2 linked regions of the Diceros bicornis minor genome follow. The main gene of each other region encodes a partner of the protein of the gene in region 2 in a complex. Links are inferred from orthologs where the notes say so. Each region holds a gene or a part of one and is shown on either strand. Other genes may lie near its edges.

The links.
Region 1: GTF2A1 (region 2) and GTF2H5 share a complex: the UniProt entries of both Homo sapiens proteins name them as parts of the TBP-based Pol II pre-initiation complex. The link is inferred for Diceros bicornis minor from reciprocal best matches to the Homo sapiens genes GTF2A1 and GTF2H5.

Annotation. Positions count from the first base shown.
Region 1 is NC_080778.1:11,400,936-11,412,369, forward strand, and holds the start of GTF2H5 (general transcription factor IIH subunit 5), read right to left. Parts: upstream 5,657-11,434; 5' UTR 4,811-5,656; coding exon 4,776-4,810; intron 3,841-4,775; coding exon 3,790-3,840; intron 1-3,789. UniProt on the Homo sapiens protein: Component of the general transcription and DNA repair factor IIH (TFIIH) core complex, which is involved in general and transcription-coupled nucleotide excision repair (NER) of damaged DNA and, when complexed to CAK, in RNA transcription by RNA polymerase II.
Region 2 is NC_080763.1:28,583,464-28,595,271, forward strand, and holds the start of GTF2A1 (transcription initiation factor IIA subunit 1), read right to left. Parts: upstream 4,545-11,808; 5' UTR 4,125-4,544; coding exon 4,095-4,124; intron 1-4,094. UniProt on the Homo sapiens protein: TFIIA is a component of the transcription machinery of RNA polymerase II and plays an important role in transcriptional activation. TFIIA in a complex with TBP mediates transcriptional activity.

The sequences.
Region 1 (11,434 bases), on a different chromosome or scaffold from region 2:
AGTGTTTTCTGAATCTGGGTTCTGTCCAGCCTGAGATACAGGTGCCTACCCTAGGATCCAGCATATTGGAGGAGCTCAATTTGCTACATGAGTAGGGTCTTAAGAGAAAGAAAGGGCCACCACAGTGGACATTAAGTTAACCAGAATGACAGGTCTCAATTTCCCAATATGACATACAATAGGTTTTATTGCTACAAAGACACAAGACTCTCAAGAGAGTACAGTCATGCATCGCTTAATGATGGGGACACATTCTGACAAATGTGTCATTATGGGATTTCATCGTTGTGCAAACATCACAGAGCGTACTTACACAAACCTAGATGGTCCAGCCTACTACCCACTAGGCTCTATGGTACTAATCTTATGGGACCGTCATATATGGGGTCTGTCATTGACCGAAATGTTGTTACGTGGCACGTGACTGTATGTATCTCAGGCACCGTTCTGGGTGCCCGGGAAACTTCAGTGAATGTGACCCTGCTAAGCAGCAAAGGCTCACAAGGGATATATAAATGCTGTGAAAAAACAGAATAATGGTTAGACTGGTTTTGCCTTAGTTCTTATTTGCTTTTCATATACAATATATGTTTAGAAGCCAAACCCATAAGGATAAGGCTGGTCTAATAATACCTATTTCTCCAGATTCTTTGTTATTGTGCTGTAAACTGGCTGCAATTTGCACCAGTACAACAAATATTCCTTGCAGAAGCATTTGCCAAACCAACTGTGGTAACTGTCACAGCAGCGATCTGCTCGCACCTGGAACTGGACACACCTTTGTTGGGCAGATGCTGCTTGTTTCCATAATTGCTGTGGCTGGCTAGATCTGGGAAAATGCTTGGTGTGAGGCTGGCAGCTGACAGTGGTAGATCCCAACAAAGAGGAAGTTTTCACCAATCTCATTTTGACATAAAAATACAAATTTACAAACAAAAAACTTTAATTTAGCTTTAGATATTGCTATGTGATAAGCCTTGGGAGGAGAGAATCTTATTACATCCAAGTACCTTGATTTTTCAATTCACTGACGGTTAGGCCTAAATGGCCACAATTATACTCCGGTTTCTTGGATTCTTTCTTGTGGACACAAAACCAGTTAAAAGGAACTGATGGACGTGGAATTTAAATACGGCAGTAAGTGAAGCCATTCTAAGATAAGTGTCGCATTAAGACTCCCTTCTTGAACCAGGTCATACATGTCTGAGAAGTATTTTGCTGGCTGCCTGGACTGAATGTGTAGAATAGCACTACCTAGGCTATTACAGATGACCTTGTATGGTAATGCGACTGGAATTCGAAGAGAGGATCATTGGGACAACGGAAGCAGTTTTAGGAGATCTTTGAGTGGTTTGCCTATAAACCCCACACTTACCAATTCTGTACTCCAATACACCTAAATGCTTCCTACAATCTATGGATATTATAAGGTAATAAACAGACTTATGCAGATACCGTATTATTAACCATCTTCTCTTTGACATCAAATATAGACATGAGGGAAACTGAAGGATTTTTCCAATTACCATCCTGTTATTTCTTAGGCCTGGAGCCTTTTTGGAAAATTTGTATCTTTGGGAAGACAGTTATCCTTTTGAAAAATTGTGAAGACTACACTTTCGAGTTCATCTTGAAGGGAAAAATTAGTTTTGCAAGGATACTATCCATCTGCAAAATAAAATGTAAGTGGTCCTGGTGCAAAACAACCCTCCATAGGGGAACTGACTATCAAATGTAAGCTGATTAAGTGCTTCTCAAACTTAAAACTGCACTGTGACAAGACCGTTTGTATGCACAATTCTGATTTAGATTTGGGAAATAAATTTTTCATTCCTAACAAGCTCCAGATGATGCTGTGGCTGCTAGTCTGGGGATGACACGGAAGAGCAAGATGACAGAGGGCCATTAGAGCCCAGGCAGACTCAGAGGCTTGATAACAAGCAGCAAGCTAGCAGAGAGGTTGCCCAATGAGAAAAGAAAACTTACACCTCAGTTCCTCTTACAAACCGGCACTCTTTGTCCTTAAGGCTAAACTGAAAGCCTACCACCAAGATTTTAATGAGTCTCCCAGAGTTTTGCTCTTTAAAATGCAGCCCAGCCATCATTTTTTTCAAATTAAAACACAGATTTAATACAATCTCAACCATCATTCCAAATGCATTATTTTAGAAATAAGCTCAATTATTCAGAGTGAAGATTACATTGAAGAGAATTGAAAGAAACAAAAGGGAAAAAAAAATTGATAGCTCACACTGTGTGTGTGTATCTTCTGCGTCAAAAAATAACATTAACAGACCAACCAGGAAAATGTTTCTATTAATTATGACAAAATAATAAGAAAAATATAAAAATTAGCCTATAAGTCTTTTCCAAAAGATAACAGAACAGTGTGCTTAGAACTTCTAGGATCTAGACCCCTGACCCCTTTGCTTTCTTAAGTGAATATCTCTCTCCTCTCTACCAGTTTATTTTTATCAACATACTTTCTAGTCCTTCAGATTAAAACAACGAAAATAACAAGAACCAGAGTCCGTTAACCATACCCTTCTTCAGCCACCAACCTATTTCTCTATTCCTTTGCTCATTATCACAACAAAACTTCTCCAAATTGTCTCCACTTCCTTGCACACACATAACAAGAACCAGAGTCCGTTAACCATACCCTTCTTCAGCCACCAACCTATTTCTCTATTCCTTTGCTCATTATCACAACAAAACTTCTCCAAATTGTCTCCACTTCCTTGCCTCGCTTTCAAAGCAGTCCAAACTGGCATCTATCCGCCCTCTCCATTAAAACAGCTCTCATAAAAATCAATGACCTCCAGTGTGTCTTCGCCTTATTCCACCTCTCATCGCCACTTGACACAGCCCACTCACCTTCATGAAACATTCTCTCCCTTAGCTTCCCTCCTACTTAACTGGCTGTTTTCTTCTTAACTGCCTTTGCTGGTGTCTCCTCTACCCAAACTCTAAATCTGCACTACTCCTAAGAGAGCCCACTAGTCACATGTCACTACTGAGTACTTGAAATGTGGCCAGTCTGTGCAATGTGCTGTAAAAGTAAAATACACATTGGATTTTGAAGCTTTAGTATGAAAAAAGGCGGTACAAGTCTGAAGTGTTAATACGGACTTTGAAGACTTAGAACATGTTGAAACATTTTGGATATATGAATTAAATAAAACATATTAATTTCACCTGATTCATTTTACTTTTTAATGGGGCTACTAGAAAATTTAAGACTATGTATGTGGCTCACATTATATTTCTATTGGGCAGTGCTGCTCTAAATGCCAGATGTATCTTGGGGTTTGGTCTTGCTCCTTCCTCAGCCTTGCTATCACAGTAAACAGTACCATCATCCATACAATGGCTCATATTAGAGGCACAGAAACTGTGGGAGATCACGATTTGGCCACCCTGAAATATGTCTCTTTACCTTGATTGTTTTCTCTGACCGATATTTGACCTCCCCCACTAACTGCCTAAAGAATTTAACACAGAAGACCTGCTCCAGGAAGGAGTTACTATCTGATGGCTGTAATACAATGTAAAATAGATGTTACAATAGGAAAGGCACCAACAAGCCCATCTTATCAAAAATTCTGTCTCTCCCAGCCCACATTCTCTAGGTGGCCCTGCAAAGAGTTGCCAGACAAACATTTACATTTATAAGGGAAATCCCCATTTGTAAAGGTATCTCCCACTCTGTACTGGGAAGTGTGGGGATAGCCTTGTCTCTGTAGAAACTCTTATCAGTACGGAAGGAAACAACTTAAATCTACATACTTTTGATTCCTGTGATTTCTGTCTCTCCAGACACATTCTCTATAGATGGCCCTGCAAAGAATCATCTGACATTTACATTTCCCTCTCCATGTAAATTGTCTTCTTCCCCTCTGAAATCGCAACCCCCCCTACCCCCAACATCCTCCTTTGTCTTTAGCTGAAGATAGTATTTAAGATGAGAATCACTGCTGGTTTGTTGAGAAACTCAGTTTCCCTGGTTTCTCCCATGTATACATGTTATTAAACTTGCTATTATTTTCTCCTGCTACCCTGTCTTTTAATTATTTGGCCAGCCATAAGAACCTTAAGGGAAAGGGCACAGGGAGATTCTCCCTCTTTCCCGACAAAATGTAGACAGCAGTATTTTCAGACAATGGGAATGTCCACAGGGCAGGATTCCCAGATGAGACAGAACTGTTTGGTGGAGCAAACAAACAAGCAGAGACTGAGCAAGACTGGTCCAGTAGTTCAGGTTTTCAGACTGAGTGATAACTAAGCCCTACATTAGCTTGCTTTGAGGAACTCAACTCGGCCCATTAAAGTTTCTAGTTTTGCCTCTGGAATGTGTGCCTAGTTTAAGAAACCTTCAACTGGCTCTCCTGTTTTTCTTTCTCTTTTTAAAAGACCATAGTCTGTGATGGTGAAGACTCAGGCAGACCCTAAAATTCTAGTCAACCCCTGATGGTTTGAGAACACAAGCACTGTTCCTCTAAAGAGGATTAATTAACAAATATGCTGCCTCTGACCAAAACTTGTTGGAAATAATGCCAGTTACATCAATTCAACAGAGGCACTGAGATCTGGCACCAGGAAGAAACACAGCAACAAAACCTGTCCCACTTGTTATTAAGAAAAATGAAGTTGAGAAAATGGAAAGACTTGGTTCATTCAGATCTTAAAACACAAATGGATTTTAGAAGATGTACACATGTAAATCCAGATTTACTATGTAGATTTAAAACTCCTTAAGTAGCAAAACTACTAACCATTCTATAAGAACTCCTTTCAGGACGTTGACCATCTTCCCAGGCAGAAGGTGCAGACGACCTTAAAAATGCCAACAAAAGGGATAAGGTGACATAAAATTCAAAAGCATCAACTTTAATACACTCTGGTGACCTCTGAAACAAGGAGAAATATTAAATGTCAAGACTAAACATTTAAATTTATGAAAGACACAGGGCTAAGATTAAGAAAACATACAGATATTGTAATCTTTTAACAAAATTAAAATGAGTCTATTTGGAATACTAATAAGCATAAATCTTACTTGCAAACAAATTCTACCCACTGTCAATCCTACCGTGTGCCCAACCTAGGTTTAAAACATGTCCGTTAGTCAAAACATTTCTTTTCCCATCCAAAAGTACGATAAAAGAGAAGATCCTGGAGGCAGGAATCACAGAACGGTAGCTCTGACAGGGGCCTTAAAAATTATATAGTGAGCCGGACCATCTGGTTTTACAGATGAGATCGAGCCAAGAGATTAAGCTGTAGCTCCCGGGAAACAAAACACAGGAGGGTGCAAGCCCAGTCTCCAGATCTTGTGTCCTTTCACCAAATAATCACGTTCCCCGTGACTTGCGCTTGAAGGAAGGGAACCCACCCAGCGCACGCCAGAGTGACCCCTAAACTTCTACACCTGGGCGCGGGCAACGCCTCCCCGTAGGAAACGCACAGCTCAATGGTGCGGGACGGCCGCCCGCCTCGTCAGGAAGGGCCAGGAGAGGGTACAAGACACCACCACGAACCCCACAACCTGGAGGACATGCTTCTGAGTCATTTCTCGCTCTCCACTCTTTCTTCGAGACCCCTCCGCCTTCCAGATACCCCACTTTACCCTCTTACTCCGAGAGCCGACGCCACGCACCTACGCCCAAACACCCAGCAGCGTCTCGGCGTCGCCGACAAAGTGCGCCTGCGTCCTCTACGTCATCGCGTCTGCGTCTCTCTTGTGGGTGGAGCGCGCCGACGGGAGGCGGGGCGCGGGCTGGGCCGAGGGGGCGGGGCGAGGTGGGGGCGGGGTCACGTACCGCCAGCCACCAGGTGGAGGGCGCGGGGTGGGAGCCGCCGAGAGCGGTGGGCTCGCCACCTACGGGATCCGCGGTGAGCGGCGGGGGCGCGCCGAGTCCGCGTGCCGGCAGGTAGGAAGGGGAGGCCGGGCTCGTGGGGGCGGGTGAGGGCGCCGGCGAAGCCGGGCACGGGGGGTAGTGGGGAGGGCGGCGACGGGGCGCGGCCGGGGCGCCCCCGCGAGGACGCGGGGCCCCCGACTGACCCGCTGACCCGCCGCCGGGCGTGAGGGCCGCTCGCTCAGCGTCAGCAGCCGGACTCTTCTTTTCCGGTCACGGCCGTTCTCTAGTTCCTCTCCGAGGCCCAAAGAGCACCTGCCGGTACCGTCAGCCCGGGCGGGGTAGTCACGGAGAGATGAGGACCAGGAGGTGGAAACAGTCTCCCCATTCACATCGGAACCTTCCAGACCGCAGCTGCTAGCTCTGCCCTGGGGGATTGAATAGATTGAATACTGATAGGTCTCTAAGCCCGGTAACGGTTATTCTAAAGTGAAAGACCCCAGGGGGTTCCAAAATTAATCCCTTCCCCAGATTCTGACCTGTAGTCTCATAGAGCTCTCTCTTTCTTTAATTGTTTTTACCAGTGGAGATGTGAGGTTCTTGCTTTCTGTGCCTTGGGTAAATTGTGCTTTCCCAATTGAGCTTACGCTCCTTTTTATTTCTTGTGTTCATGTAATTTACGAACCTAGTTTTTCCATTTATTTCCCTCTTTATCCCTCAAATCGTTTTCCTCCCGTTGGTTTCCATATTGTTGAGCACGCTCTCTCTCTCTCTCTTTGATCTGCCCCAAGTATAGTTCCTGCCAAGTATCTTTTCTTTTTTTTCCTTCTTGAATGTATCCTCCTCCTTGACCATCTCAGCAGTTCCATTGCGTTGAACCTCCCACTTTTGTGCTCCAGGTGCAGGCCTCATGCTTGCACCTTAATAACCTGTGAGTACTCTCAAGTCCACCTCTCAAATTGAAGTAGTTCTCATTTCATCCTCACTTCAAAACCTTCTTTCTTCCTGTGTTTTTCTGAATCACCCAGATTTGAAACCTCCATCCAATTATTCAACAAACATTTTTGTGGGCCTAATATGTGCCAGACACTGTGCTAGACTCTGGAGACACAGTGGTGAACAAGCAACTAATTATGGTGGAAAAGAGAGACACTAAAATGAGTTAACAGGAAGGTATCAGATGGTAATGTGATAAAGAGACTGGAAGGGCTGCTTTGGTTATGGAGGTGTCAGAAATGGCCTTCAGTTCATGCAGATTTCTGAATGAAAAAAAGTGACTTCTGTACACCAGCAGTAACCAGCTAGGAATTTTAATATAAAGATACTATTCATAACTGTATTCAAAACTAAAGGTATCGAGGAATAGATCAAACTAAAACTGTATAGTCTTTTAGGGAGAAAATTATAGTGCTCTATTGAAACAAAAAAGAAGACCCAAGAAATGGAGAGATATACCATATTCATGGATGGGAAGACTCAATATCATAAAGATGTCAGTTTTCCCCAATTTTACAGATTCAGGGCAATTCCAATTGAAATTGGTATATGTTTTTTCATGGAACTTGACATGCTGAGCCAAAAATATATATGGAAAGATAAAGGACCAAGAATAGCTAAGTCAATTTTGAAGAAAAATTTTAAATAAAGTCCCTTCCTCCCAGATAGCAAAACTTAATATAAAGCCATAATAATGAAGACTACTGTCTTAATTACTAGTATTGGTTCAGGGATAGAAAAATAGACTCATGGAACAGAGTAGAGAGCCTAGAACCACACCCATGTACATATGGGAGTTTAGTATACCACTAAGTGGTACTACAAAGCAGGAGGAAAAGCATAGACTGTTCAGTAAATGGTGCTGAGATACGTGATATCCATATAGAATAAAGACAAAATTAGATTCCTGCTTCACACCATTCACAACAGTAATTTCCAAATGGATTAAAGACCTAAGTGTGGAAGACACATCTGTAAAATATTTAGAAAAAAATATAGGAGGCTATATTTAGGAAAGATTTCTTTTGTTTTATTGGAGTTAAATATACATCACATAAAATTTACTACCATTTTAACCACTTTTAGGTATGTAGTTCAGTGGTATTCATGTTATTGTGCAGCCATCACTACTGTCTAACTCCAGAACTTTTTTTCTTTCTGGGAGGGATTTGTTAAGGTACGAAAAGCACCACTGAGGATGCTATTGCCTTACTCCAAATGAGAGATGATGGTGACTTGAGCTAGAGTGGTAATACCGAAAACGGAGAAAAATGGATGGATTTGTGATATGTTTTGATGGCAGAGAACAGGAATTGTGCATGGTTTAGATATGAGGTGAGGAGAAAACAAAGAATCCAGAGCAACATCCAAGTTTTGCTTGAGCTGTGTGGTAGGTTATTTACATTTATCATCAAAGGGTATTTACCGTTTGTTTGGTAGTGATGGGGAGGATGAGTGGAGGAAGAGTTTGGGGAGACAAAGAATTCTGTATTGTCAGTTGAGTTTGAAAGGCCTGTTGGGCATCCAAGTGGAAATATTCCAGTAGCTGTTGGATAGATGAGTCTGGAAAGATTGTGGCTGGAGGTACAACTTTGGAATCTCTGGCATATAGATATTTAAAACCGTGATTTGTTAGAATTAGATTTGGCTGCATTTCTGCACACAGAAAATATAAGGTAATAATGGCTTAAGTATGCATATGATTCCATAGGTAGGCAGGCCATGGCTGGTATGGCAGCAGCTCCATGATCATCAAGGACTTGGATTCTTCTGTCTTGCTATTCTGCCATCCTTAGCGTGCTGCCTCATCTCAATCTGATAGTTGAGGTGGACACTTTAATTCCAACTGCCACCTGCTCCTGGGAAGAGAGAAGAGGGAAGGTTGAAGAAAGACACATACTATTCTCTTTAAGGACACTTCTCAGAAGTTGCACATGACACATCCACTTATGACCCATTAGCCAGTTCTTAGTGACCACACTTAGCTAGAAAGAAAAATAGACAATGTAGTGCTTATTCAGTTATTTGTGTGCCCAGTTACATTTCAGGAGTTTTATTAATAAAAACGAAGGGGAGAATGGGCGTTTAGTTTCAGTCTGGTTTCTTCTCCAACCAGGGCAACGACTCTACCATTATGAAGGCTCCGGTTGTTAAATGTAATGGAATTGTTGAATATTTGTTTCACTTGGTATTCATAATCTCTCCTTTTTTACTTTCTGTGTCCTTCTTCTTAGTCTCTTAGAATTTCTCCTCTGTTTTCTACTTAAAATTAGTGTTTCAGATTTAATGTAGTCACAGTCATAATCCAAAGGCTTTGTAAAAATAGAAATCGACAGGCTGACTTTAAAATTATGTGGAAGTGAGGAGGCTGGCCCAGTGGCGTAACAGTTAAATTTGCCGGTTCGGATCCTGGGCGCGGACCTACGCACTGCTCATCAAGCCATGCTGAGGTGGTGTCCTACATAGAGCAACTAGAAGGATGTACAACTATGACATACAACTATCTACTGGGGCTTTGGGGAAAGAAAAAGGAGGAGGATTGGCAATAGATGTTAGCTCAGAGGCGGTCTTCGTCAGCAAAAAGAGGAGGATTAGCACGGATGTTAGCTCAGGACTGATCTTTCTCACAAAAAAAAAGAAAAAGAATGCTCACAGTGGTCTATGGTAGGCAGAATACTGGCCCCCCAAAGATGTCCATGCCCAAATTCCTGGATTCTGTGAATATGTTACATGACATGGCAAAAGGGACTTTGCAGATGGAATTAAGGTTACATATCTTAAGATAGGGAGATTATTTTAGATTATCCGGGAGAGCCAAATGTATCACATGGATCCTTAAAAGTGGAAGAGGAAAGCAGAAGAGTCAGAGATTTGGCAGTGTGAGAAGGATAAGCTGTTGCTGGGCCTGAGATCTAGGGGACTACCTGTAAAGACCAGAGAGAGGCCTCTGAGAGCTAAGGGTGGCACCCAGACAACAAGTGGCAAGGAAACAGGACCTTAGCCCTACAGTTGCATGGAAGTGAATTCTGCCACTGACCTGAATGAGCCTGAAAGTGGAATCGCCCCCAGAGCTTTCAATAAGGGATGCAGCCCTGCTAACACTTTGGTTTCAGCCTTGTGAGACTTTGAGCAGGGAAATTCAATCTAAAATAGTGCCTAGGGATCTGTATTTTAATAATCTGCAGACAATCCTAGGATGATATTTTGAGAAACACCGTTTTATAAACCATTTTTCAATAACTTCATCCAAAACTATGGTTTCAATTACTAGTACGTGCTAATGACTCATAAATCTATATCTATAGCTTAGACCTCTTTGCTGAGCCCACATAGCTTAATGGACATCTTACAGAATATTTTACAAGAACCTTAATCTCAGCATGTTGAAACTGGGAATTCATCCTTTTCCTCAAATCCATTTCTTTTCCTTTATTTTCCTATTTGGTAAGTATTGTCCCTATATACTCAGTAAAACCAGAAACTGGGAATCATAATTGTCTCCTCCCTCTTAGCCATTCTCCTTATCTCTTATCCAATTGTTTATTAGATTCTATTCTCTTAATACCTCCTTAAGTCTGTTTCTTCTTGATCATTCTCAGAGCCACTTCCTTAATTCAAATACAACTTTCTCTCTGATTATCCTTAAAAGCCTCCCTATTCGTTTTCCCCATGTCTACCTCTAAAAAAATTTTTTTATCGTGTTACTCCATTTCTTAAGGTTAATCTCCCAACAGCTTCCCTTAACTCAGGGTAAGCTTTAGACTGCTTAACTTAGCTAAAAATGATGTTCATGATCTCACTAGCCCCTGCCTTCAACACTCCTCTGTTAGTAATCAACAGCATGAGTCATATTAAAATCAGTGAGGAAGAGAAGACCTGAAAAACACTATCAGACAATGAACAGACATTTGTAGAACTCTCTACCCAACAGCAACAGAATATACATTTTTTTCAAGTGCATCAGGAACATTCACCAAGATAGAGCATAATCCTTGTCATAAAACAAGCCAAGATTTAAAAGAATTGAAAATATACAAAGCCTATTCTCCAGCCACAATGGAATTAAGCTAAAAATCAATAACAAAGATATCTGGAAATTCCTAAATATTTGGAAATTAAGTAACACACTTCTAAATATCCCATTAGGAAGAAGGACCTGGCCACCCACTTCCAAAAAAATTGGCCGTGAAAACCCCATGAATAGCAGCGGAGCATTGTCTGTAGCACTGGAAGATGAGAGGGTGGCACAAAAAAAAGATCAGGCAGGTTCTGCTCTGCTGTACATGGGTTCGCTAGGAGTCATAATCGACTTGACGGCGCTATCAACAACACAGACATCCCACGGATCAAAGAGGAAGCCTCATAGTGAAATTAGAAAATATTTTTAACTGAATGAAAGAAAAAACACTCAGCATATCAAAATTTGAGGGATGCAGCGAAAGCAGTGCTTAGAGGGAAATTTTTAGCATTAAATACTTATATTAGAAAGGAAGAAATCTTAGATCAGTAATCTTAACTTCAATTTTAAGAAGCTTGAGAAAGAATAGCTAGTTGAAATGAAAGCAATAAAGACTAATAAA
Region 2 (11,808 bases):
TTGCTATGCCTAGTTCCTATTACTCCTTGCTTAGTCTGATCCTATTCTATCTCATAACCTCGTCACTAAGTCTCAGACTTTAGAGAACCTTATGTCCTGCAGTCATCTGCCTGGTAATAATCTGCAACCTAATGAGTATCCAAATCTAAAAATCACCTCATTTTTGTTTTTGTTACTCAGTCTGTATCCTTAAGCTATACCACAAAACTGTTCATATATTCACAATAACAGATCCTCAAGTCCCAGAGGAACAAGGCATACTGATGTCTCTCTCAGGATTTCTCTCCTTCTACCACTGCCCAAATGATGCTATGGAATAGAATCTTGAGCAGCCTCGATGTTTTTTGTGTGTGTGTGTGAGGAAGATCAGCCCTGAGCTAACATCTGCCAATCCTCTTTTTTTTGCTGAGGAAGACTGGCCCTGGGCTAACATCCATGCCCATCTTCCTCCACTTTATATGGGACGCCACCACAGCACGGCTCGCCAAGCGGGGCGTCAGTGTGCGCCCAGGATCCGAACCAGCGAACCCCGGGCCGCCGCAGCAGAGCGCGCGCACTTAACCGTTTGCACCACCGGGCCAGCCCCTCAATGTTTATTTTTTAAATTATTATTATTATTACTATTATTGTTGGTATTACTTGGGGGTGAGGGGAAGCTTGCTTCTAGAAGGTTGCCAGAAGGATAAAATGAAAATACATGTGAAAGCACTTTCAAAAGTATAAAGTATTTTTTAAAAAGCAAAAGGTGGGATAGAGAACAATTTGCCCAACCCCACATCCTATTTTTAACACATCAGACAAACGGAAGTTTACATGTTAGAATAATAAAACTAGAGTTGCCTCACTATAAATCCTATCCATTATCACAGAGTTAAGGTTAACAGCCTTTTTCTTTTAATAAGCTTTGTCACTATTTGTGTTCTATCTTGTTTAAGGTAAAAGTTACTGGTTATCCAATAAAACTAAGGGTTTGCTCTCATAGGCAAACCTCAAACAGAAATAAATGTTTCATTAGCATCTCTATCAGCAAAACTGTTATCACAAGGGAACCCTCTAAGAAAATGTGTCCTTGCCTAGTTAAAAATACAAATAATGAATTCTTCCATAAAATGTACCTCAACCATTAAAAACTATTTGCTCTTTTTCATTACAACCAGAAAAACAATTCATGTATCTAGGTTCTCACCTCTGCTGCTCCACTCACTAACTTGCTTTTTTAGTTTGCCAAATCAGCTTCTGTGAACTTTAAAATTATTCGTGTGTAAAACGTGCATCTCTACAGTGTCTCTATTTTAATATTCTGATTCTATATAAGAGGAAAGTCTGCCTATGGGTATCACCTTATCTATGGCAATTTAACTACTGAATTACAAAACACATTTATAAAGTGCTTTGTTTAAAACCAATAATGACATTAAAAAGAGGCAGTGTAACTTTTAATTGGTAGTATAAAACTTAAATTGATGATATAAATTATTTTTTCAGCAAACTAGATGTTGCTTTGGGTTTCTGAAATTAGTCACCCCTAAAAATCTTCTGCTTGGAGGTCTAGACATTTATAGGTAACAAATGTGCTTTCCTTCTGGCACTCCCTATTTAATGTATCAACCTTGCTTTAATAAGATTTTGCTTTTGTGCCTTAATTAACCCAAAACTTGAGCACTTCATGGATTCATAAGCACTACAGTTGAAAGAAGGGAAATGTGTATTCTTCATGAAGTATACACATAAAGAATAATTTAAGGGGCTGGCCCGGTGGCGCAAGCGGTTAAGTGCGCGCGCTCCGCTGCGGCGGCCCGGGGTTCGCTGGTTCGGATCCCGGGCGCGCACCGACGCACTGCTTGGTAAGCCATGCTGTGGCGGCGTCCCATATAAAGTGGAGGAAGATAGGCACCGATGTTAGCCCAGGGCCGTCTTCCTCAGCAAAAAAAGAGGAGGATTGGCGGATGTTAGCTCAGGGCTGATCGCCTCACAAAAAAAAAAAAAAAAAAAAAAAAGAATAATTTAAGAGAATTGTTCATAAGTTGAAAAGCCCTTAAAATCCTGATGTTTTTAGAAGTATGTGGGTACACAGGCACTATTTGAAATACGCAATTTCCAAATTATTATTTAAAATGCTAAACTTGCCTTGAGCCAAAGTTTTTACCTTTTACGAAATAAAAAGTCATTTAAGAGGTTTGTCATGGTTTTCAAAAAACACATATTTCAAACCTAAAAACTGGTAATTTCAAGGGCCATTAGTAGCATTATCTAATGATTCATTAGAAGGTTCCTTTCAAAAGTGTTAGTCCCCCATGCAATACTGGAAAACAAACTGGATTAATTTCTCTATTGGATATCACACTAATATCCAATTCAATAAAAACCTTGTCTGCTCAGAATTTTAATTTTTTAAAATCCAGTTTGCAGTTAAAGCCTCCTCACTTTCATTACTCACAATTCCCCTACACAGAAATGTACTGTGGATATAGGTGCTACGTTGAAGCTTCAGGCACTTATCTACTTCTTTGAACAGCTTCGTGTCTCCGCTATTTATTATAAGAAAACATAATGAAATATTAGGAGCTAGATTCTAACACATTTCCTGAATACTTGATGAACACAATACTACCAAAGTCAAGTCCTTTGCAGCTAACAGTTAACGTAGAAAGCACTTTTTTTCCATTCCCGACAATAATGTAGGCATCTTGTAATACAAGAACGATTAGACATCTGACCTAAAATTATCTCTAAAAACAAAAATAAAACTAAAAAGGAAAGCAATTCTCTTTTCCCCTAACAAAGACGGCAAATCCCAGCGGCTGCACCACAACAAAAACTTGGGGCTCTGAAAGCAGCCCCCGTTGGGTGCGAACATGACAGGCTAAGGAAAGGACCTAGAAATAAATCGAGCTCTGCACGCGCCTGCCTCTCGCGTCGGGAGCACGCACCTCCCAGCCCCGCTCTCAGCAGCTCTCACTATTTAAAGCCGGATCTGGTGTTTAAATGGAGAGGCGGTGACGTAGGCCTGAAAAGCACCTTCCCATCCTGGCAGAGTCTATATTAGAGAGCGGCAATGGCTCTATATAAACAGGGCAGCCAAAGGGAGGAGGACCACAAGGCTCAGGGACTGAAAAGCCGGGTAAGCGGCCGCAGCCATGATGGATCGACCCGAGTCGCCAACGGTACGGAGTCGGGCGGCCGCGGGCAGGTCTGCGGCATTTGGGACCGGGCAAAAACGTGTTTTATTGTCACAATAAAAATAAGAGAGTGGGGTGGACGAGTGATCACATTGCGTTGGTGACTGAAAAGGTTCTTTATGTGACTGCTTTTTGCAAACCTACGTGATCGCAAGTAACCAAAAAGGGACGAACGGGGAGAAGTAGGCAAATTGCAAGGCGAAAGCGGGGGCACTTTGACCACTGTAGGCTTTTTTTTGTTTGTTTTGGTGCTTTTGCTAGTCGAAGATACGATGGGGGTTTTGCTTCCCCTTCGCCATTTTACCGATTCGGAAGGAACCGAGATAAGTGCTTTTCAACCTTCGTCCTTTTTTAAAAAAAAAAAAAACATAAAATGGCCCCAGCGAAGGCTCCCTAAGCACAACAGCCAGAAACACCCCAAGTTCCCCCCCGAAGTAGCCATCAACGTTCCACTGCAGGAAAGTGGATCGCGGTGGGTCTTGGGGATTCGCCCAATTCCCCAGACCCGGTTTTTGTTTGGAGGCGGCTCGGGGAGCCCTTCTCGAGCCGGCGCGGCCGGGCCCACTTCGGGGGCAGCGGCGGCTCCCCTCCCGCCCTCCCCCCCGGCGGCCGGGGTCTGGGGCCGGGGCCGCGCACTCGCCCCGGCCCAACCGCCTCCGCGGCCCCAGGCCCCGCCGGCACCCCCGCCCTCCCGCCGCCGCCGCCGCCGCCGCCGCGAGCCCTCGGCGCCCCCCCGCGCCCGCCGCCCGGCGCCCCGGCCCGCTCCGCCCGAGGCGGGAAGCGGCGGCGGCGGTGGCCGCGCGGGCGGCTGAGGAGAGTCGAGGCCGGGAGTCGCCGCCGTCCCCGCCCCCGCCCGGTCCGGCCGTTGCTGCCGCCTGGACGAAGCCCCCGCCGGCCACCGCACCACGTCCTTACCACGGTGTTTGTATTTGCCGAGTTCGCCATTTCCACACACAACACAAACAAGAGGGGAGCAACCCCGAGAAAACAAGAGAAAAACAAAACCAAAAAAAAGAAAAAGAAAAAACCGAAACACCCAGAGGGTGACCCAAGCCACCGCAAGATGGGGGGGAAAAATTTTTCAACAAAATCGGATCCTGAAGGAGTAGAGGGGAGCGGTGAGAGGAGAGGGGGAGGTGGAGGAGGGGGGCAGTCCTCCCGGAGCTAAAAACCTCGAGAATCGCCCTTAAAAAAAAAAAACCACGACCCTTTGGGGGGTCCGGGGGGCGTTGCCCGCTCCCCACCCCGCGCCCAGGAGGGAACCACCACCGGTCGCCGCTCCCCGCGCCGCCGCTGCCGCCACCGGCTGCAGCTCCAGCCGTCCGGTCCGCCCGCTTCTCCCCTTTATATAGCGAGCCAACGAGCTGCGCGAGCCACCGCCGCCGCCGCTGCCGCCGAGAGACAGGGCGGAGGGGGAGGGAGGGGCGGAAAGGGCGGGGGCACAGGTGGGCGGGGCTCAGCGCGAGACACCGCGAGAGCCGCGTGCGCAGGCGCGCCGGGGCGGTGGCCGCCGCGAGTCGCGTCGTCACGCGCCGTGGAGGGTGCTGGGCAGGCGGAGCCCGGGGTCTGGTGTACTGAAGTCGGACCGCTGCCTCCCCAAGTCTCGCGTGATCACGTGGTTGGCACGCAGGCGGAAGTTCGGCGGCTCGTTTGGGGTGAGGAGCTTGCAAACCACTGCCGGGAAAGGCGTGAGTTTTGGTGATACTCGAGTCCAAAGCTTGCTGGGACCGCCTCCTCTCAGGCGTTGTTGCGCCGTCCCACGCTGGAGGAGCTAGGAAATGTGGAAGGGGCGGTGGGGGCTGCCTCGTTAGGAATGGCCGCGGAGGAGGACCAGTCACGTGGACCAGCTTCCGGCCCCTGGCGCGCTTGGACTCAGGGCAGAGTTTTAAACGCGGAGTCACGTCAGAGCGTGATCTCGGCTTAGACTGAGAGCTTTGAGGCGTTCGCGCCTTCCGCCGAGGGTTGGCCTTTCGCTTGCAAAGTTGTGTACGTGTTCCTAAAGGGGATGAATGCTGATTTGGGCCTACTGTTAACACATTCCAGAATTAATAACCCCTAAAACCGGCTGAGTTGTTTGTCTCAAGTACAGCTACAAAGTCTTTGGATTTAAGTTCCCCAAAGGTTCGGCCCCTACCAGCCCACGTACTTAAATGATTTCTGATAGTAGTGGAAATGCCAAAAAAAGCAAAACGAAACACCGACCACAGGGTTATGACAGCATGATAACCTTCCCTGTTTTTTTAACCTACTGCCAAAATTCTGTGTCTCCACATAGCCAGCATGTAGTGACTAACATCTGAAATACTTGACCTTGGCCAACCAACTCACACGGCTCCTCGCTGCCAGAGAGCGGGCAGAAACTGTCCAGGTCTTGGAGTGCAATTCTATAGGCGTTTGACCTGCTCTGCTCCACCAAATCCCGCCTTTATATCAACATTTCACGCAGAACAGAGAATGCTCTGTTTAGAAGGCAGAAGTCACAGTACCTAATTTTCTTGTCCCTAGGAATTTCAAGAGACATGGAATGGGTGGTCTGGACAAGTGAGGGAGTTTATCCTAAAAGGCAAAGCAAAACAAAACGTCAAAAGTTCTATGCCACTGAAACCAGATGTGAAGAATATCAAAGGCGTCCTACCAGAGAGAGGAAAAGGTGCAATCCGCCAGGACTTGAAGGAAGAGATTAATGAAAGCAGGCCGTTAATACTCAGAAAATGGGAAGTTGTGGATAGTTTGTGAATGGGTATAGAAAATATCTGTTAATCTTGAGATTTCTTTTAACACCATCTGATCGAACAACATCCTCTTAACACTCGCTTCTTAGTTCCCTGCACAGCTGCCTGTTTGGGGGCACTTAAGAAAAAAAAAATTCGCAGGAAATCATAGTGTTCTTGATATATAACATTATGATTCCATCCACATTTGTAATTCATTTAATATTCAGGTGACTATGAGCCTGAAAAATTTTACTAAACAATACCATTCCTGGTAAATTTCACTGCTTGTTATTTTAAGAAGACTTCTTGTTACCTCCTGTATGTACTGTGTGCACGTGGAATCCCTCACCTTCCACCTTATTTTCTTCCTTACCACTGGGTATTCTTAACTAAATGATCAAATGTTTTGCTATCCGTTAAAATTAAGACTACTGCAGACAGGACATGGCAAAGAATCTATGAGATTTGTTCTCCACACAATTATTCCTAAGGGGGTTGATGACAGATATGCCCTGATTGGGTCTGACCTTTGAAACAATAGGATATAGTTACTGCATTAAAAAGGCAGAAAACCCAGTCCTGGCTCCTTAAGACCTTCGGACTCCCAGGAGGCTCCTCTGAGTCCACTTCTCTCTTTACACACTAAATTGCAACAATGCCTAAACACTTGGTTAATATTTACCCAGATCCCCCCCCCCCCCCCCCCCCGTATGCCTGGCATCTAAGTATCATGGATTCCATTCCAATTTATTGTTTTCCAACCTTCAGTTAGCTATAATATGCTGTCAATCACAATATACGTGTGCCAACCAGTTTAGTTTCAGAAAGAGATATTCTCTGATCTTGCACCAGAAGAGTGGGTCTGAATAGTTTGGAGGCTACAGCTCTTTGGTTCACAAAAGTGAAAATTTGTGAACAGAAAACTCCTCCCATGTAAGACTGAATTTAGCAACATATTTAAATTGTTTTTATCTGAACTTTTTCTTCTTTGTGCCCTAAAGCTTAAAGAACTTTTCTAATTTTAGCGGCTCTTTATACCATATAGGAAACGTTTATACTGGAATTTTAGTTTGTGAACTCATACTTTGTAACAGCCGTATACTTAGACAGATACATAATAGTGTTCTCTTTGTGATGAATCTTTTTTTTTTTACTTCAAAATGTTTTATATTGGAGAATAAGAGTTACTTCTTTCTTTTAATATTAATATTCTGCCAAAACACTGGATAATTGCCAAGCAAAAGAAGAAAAGGAAAAATTCAATGGATAAATTTTAATATTACCATAAACAAAATGACATCAAACCTTATATGTCCAAACATTTAAATGTTTTATTGTCCAAATGACTATTTAAGCAACAATGCCAAGAAAAAAGAAAATCTAAAAAGACTGACTGCTCTGGAAATTAGCTTAAACTAAACTCTCATATGACTTCCCTTCAGCCTCCATGTTCTTAAATAGTAAAATGAATAAATCAGGCAAATTATCTGGCATATTTAAGGATCTTGCAGCCCTTATATGCTCAATAGTATTGGACACTTTAGGAGGATACAAAAGTAAAGAGGAAAGATCTTATATCTCAAGCTTACTAATCCTAATGAAGGTTTCTATTGTAAAGTGGTGCATAATTACAGCATTCATTCAAGATAATAAAAGCACTGATGTATTTCAGTCCTACCAAAAAAATTATGCTCTATTCAGATTTCAGTTAATTTTTAGGCCTTTACAAAAAAACTGTTGATTTCCACACGCAGTAATTTTTGATGCAATATGTAGGAAGAAATTGCTGATCACACAAATTACCTCTATATATATGAGGAGGAGATTTTTAAAAATCTTTAATGTTCTCTTCCTCTCTTCTAACTTATAGTTTGAAATTGCTACTGCATGTCTTAAAACAGCAACTAACTTGCAATTATTTTCTGTATACCAAAATAAAAGCGAGTTTGTTAGCAAAAACAAATTAACTTAGTGTGTACAGAGTGCAGTCTTTGTGGAATCAGGCTTGACTCTGCCATTACTTTACTGTGTGACCTTCTGCAGTAACTAAATCTCTCTGTGTTGATAAGATGGAATAAAAACCACTGCATATGATTGTTGGGAAGATCAAAGCTACTAGAAAATGCTTTAATAAGTATTTGGTGGATGTTTTTATTATTTATGGTAAGTGTATAACAGCTACATCAACAACATCAAAATGGGGGAAAGGTCTTTTTAACTCACTTTGTAGAACACTACCATTAGATTTTAATAATGCTGTTAATCATTGATGATTAGTTTATCCATAAGAACTTTGGCCAAATTTTGATACCTCAAGTGATGAGTATACCACTTTTTGTATGTAAATACAGTAATTATATGCTATCATGAGATACAGACACCTTAGCTGAATGCTGATTTATCGGTTGCAGTTCATCAAGTTGCTTAGTTACACATGTGCCTGATTATATCTAGCAAAATTACATATGAATTTGCCATTGACCCAGCAATACCAGTTCTAGGACTCTGTGCCTAGAACACTCATGTGTTGCTTAACAATGAGGATACATTCTGAGAAATGCCTAGTTGGGCAATTTTGTTGTGCAAACAGCATAGGGTGTGCTTACACACACCTAGATGACATAGCCTACTACACACCTAGGCTATATGGGACTAACCTTATGGGACCACCATATATATGCGGCCCATTTTTCATCAAACCGACCTTATGCGGCACATGACTGTAGTGGCAAAAATATGAAAAGATGTATGCTCAGGACTATTCATTATGGGACTTCTTGTAACACTAAAAGAATGGAAATACCCCCACATGTGCGTATAAGGAGATTGGTTAGATAAATTATGGTGCTTATGTACATGGAATACAATGCAGCTGTAACAAGGAATGAGGACTATCTCTATATACCACTATGGAAGGATCTTCAAAATGTAGTGTTACGTGACAAAAGCAAAGTAGAGAAAAGTTTTCTTTGTATGCTACTGTTTAAGAAAATGGGAACTATAAAAATGTGTAAACACTTGCTTCCATTAAAAAAAAAGGAAAAATAAAACAATTTTTTTTTTCAAAAGGGTTATTTTTAAGGACAATGAGAAAACAGTGTGAAGAAGACGGGAATAGAAGCTAGACTTATTTAAACATAGTTTTACTTTTTAGATTTATAGCTTAGATTTTTAGATTCAAATCTAAAAATAATTTAAATAAATAACAAATAAATAATAAATAGAAGATAAATTAATAAAATTTAAGTAAATTTAAAAGTTTAATTTTGTTAAATTAAAAACAAGATTAACCCTTTTTTATTGCGGTAACATTTGTTTATAACATATAAATTTCAGGTGTACATCATTACATTTCACTTTCTGTATAGATGACATCATGTTCACCACCCAAAGACAAAATTAACTGTTGAAAAGAAATCCCAAAACTGAAAATAAAATGAAGCATATCTACCTATCAGTATATTCCATAACACACAGAGAGGAACTTTTTCAAGTGCCTGTAAAACACAGTAATTTGATTATATATTTGTAGTGGGATATTCTCTAAGAACAAAAGGAAATATCAAAAAAAAATTTTTAATGTTAATATTTATAGTGATGGTAATATTTTATATGCATTTGGGGTTTTTAATATGAAATGGAGAAGTACTATTTGGAGAATAACATACTTTTAGAGGTTTTGCTTATTGTTTCTAATGTTTCCAGACATCCTTCTTTTATTGGTGATCTTCATTCCAATATCAAAGTGTTGTTTCTCCCTCCAAACACCACCTCTTTGATCCAATCAACAGATCAAGGAGTTATAGCAGTTGTAAGGCCTGCTACCTTAGGAGGACCCTTGCTCAGGCTATTGCTGCAACTGAAGAAGACACTGATGCAATTCTAGAAAGATTACAACATCTATGACTGCATCAAGAACTTTGCTAAGGCTTGGGGTGATGTCAGCAAGGAGTGTATGAATGGCGTCCGGAAGAAGACACTTAGGAGGTTCGTTTATGACTTCAAAGGATTTGACAAGGATGAGAAATTGCAAAAATCAACAGGCTATGGTTGAGATAGCAAACAACTTCAACCTGGGTGTGGATGGGGATGATGTTGAGGAGCTCCCAGAGGTGGTTCCTGAGGAATTGGCTAATGAGTTGTTGGAAGTAGAACAGGAAGACACAGCTGAAGAAAGAGACAAGAAAAAGGAAACTGCAAGATAAGAAAAAGAAGAACCCAGAAGAAAATTCACAGTGAAGGGTTTAGCAGCTTTTGCAAACCTCAAGAAGCTCCTTAAAAAGTTTGAAAACATGGACCCCAACACCAAAGTTTTTCATTAATAGGAATGTTCATGGTGCATTATCTGCTTATAAGCAAATCTATGATGAAAAAAGAAAGAAACCAAGCAAACCACCATGGACATATTTCTGAAAAGAGTAGCACCTCCTTGAGAAGAGCCTCAGGCTGGTCCTTTAAGAAGCATTCAAGAGGAAGGCATTGTCACCACAGGAGATGACAGCTCCATGCATGTTATTGCCCCTGAAGACCTTCCAGTGGGACAAGATGTGGAGGTGGATGACAGTGATATTGATGATCCTGACCCCGTGTAGGCCTAGGCTAATGTGTGTGTTTGTGTCTTACTTTTTAACAAAAAGGTTTAAAAAGTTAAAGAAAATTAAAAATTTTAAAAATAGAGAAAAGCTCATAGAATAAGGACATAAAATATTTTTCTACAGTTGTACAATGTGTTTTAAGCTAAATGTTATAAAAGTCAAAAAGTTTTGAAAAATGAAAAAGTTTATAAAGTAAAAAAGTTATAATAAACTAAGGTTAATTTATTATTGAAGAAAGAAAAATTCTTTATATAAATTTAGTTTGGCCTAAGTGTACAGTGTTTATAAAGGCTACGGTAGTATGTAGTAATGTCCTAGGCCTTCACACTCGCTCACCACTCACTCACTGACTCACCCAGAGCAACTTCAAGTCCTACAACCTCCTTTCACCGTAAGTGCCCTATACAGGTGTAACATTTTTTGTCTTTTATACTGTATTTTTACTGTCCTTTTCTATGTTTAGATACACAAATACTTACCATTGTGTTACAATTGCCTACATTATTCAGTACAGTAACATACTATACAGGTTTGTAGCCTCGTAGCAATAGGCTATACCATATAGCCTAGGTGTGTAGTAGGCTATACCATCTAGGTTCATGTAAGTAAACTCTACGATGTTCACACAATGACCAAATTGCCTAATGACGCATTGTTGAGAATGTAGCCCTGTCGTTAACCGATGTGTGACTGCATATCATCTCAATCGTTCTTAAGAAGCATGATCACAACATAGGAGAAAGGAAATAAAGATATCAGGTAGAAGACGATAAGTAAAAGTTCTATAATCCTGAATTTCAATTAGAAGTATCATGATGCATTTTGCTTTAAATTTTTTTCCCCCAGCTCTGAAAAGGCCTAGAAACAATAACCAACCCAGTAGCAATGAGTACACGTAGTACCTAAATTATGGTACTTCAAGGCCAATGTTCCTTGGAGAAATGTCTTATTCTGATTCCAGGTCAAGAGCAGGAAATGTCTTTTTTCTTAAAACAACAAAAACTCAATATGTTTTAGCTTATAAAATATACACAGCTGTGAAAAAGCCTAACCATAGTGACCAACCCAGTATCCATGAGCATCTCTAGCTCCCAGATTATAATCTTGAAATACCATTTTCCACTAAAAGGAATCAGGGTTCTTTGGGGATATTGCTGAGTCCAGGATTTGGCCAAGAAAAATATTAGTTTAAAACAAATGACATTGCCAGCGATTGCCCAACCTCATACAAAATGAGTCTAGAATATCTCTTCATACGGATAGCAAGGAAAGTATGTTAGTTTTCTAGGGCTATTGTAACGAAGTACCACAAACTTGGTG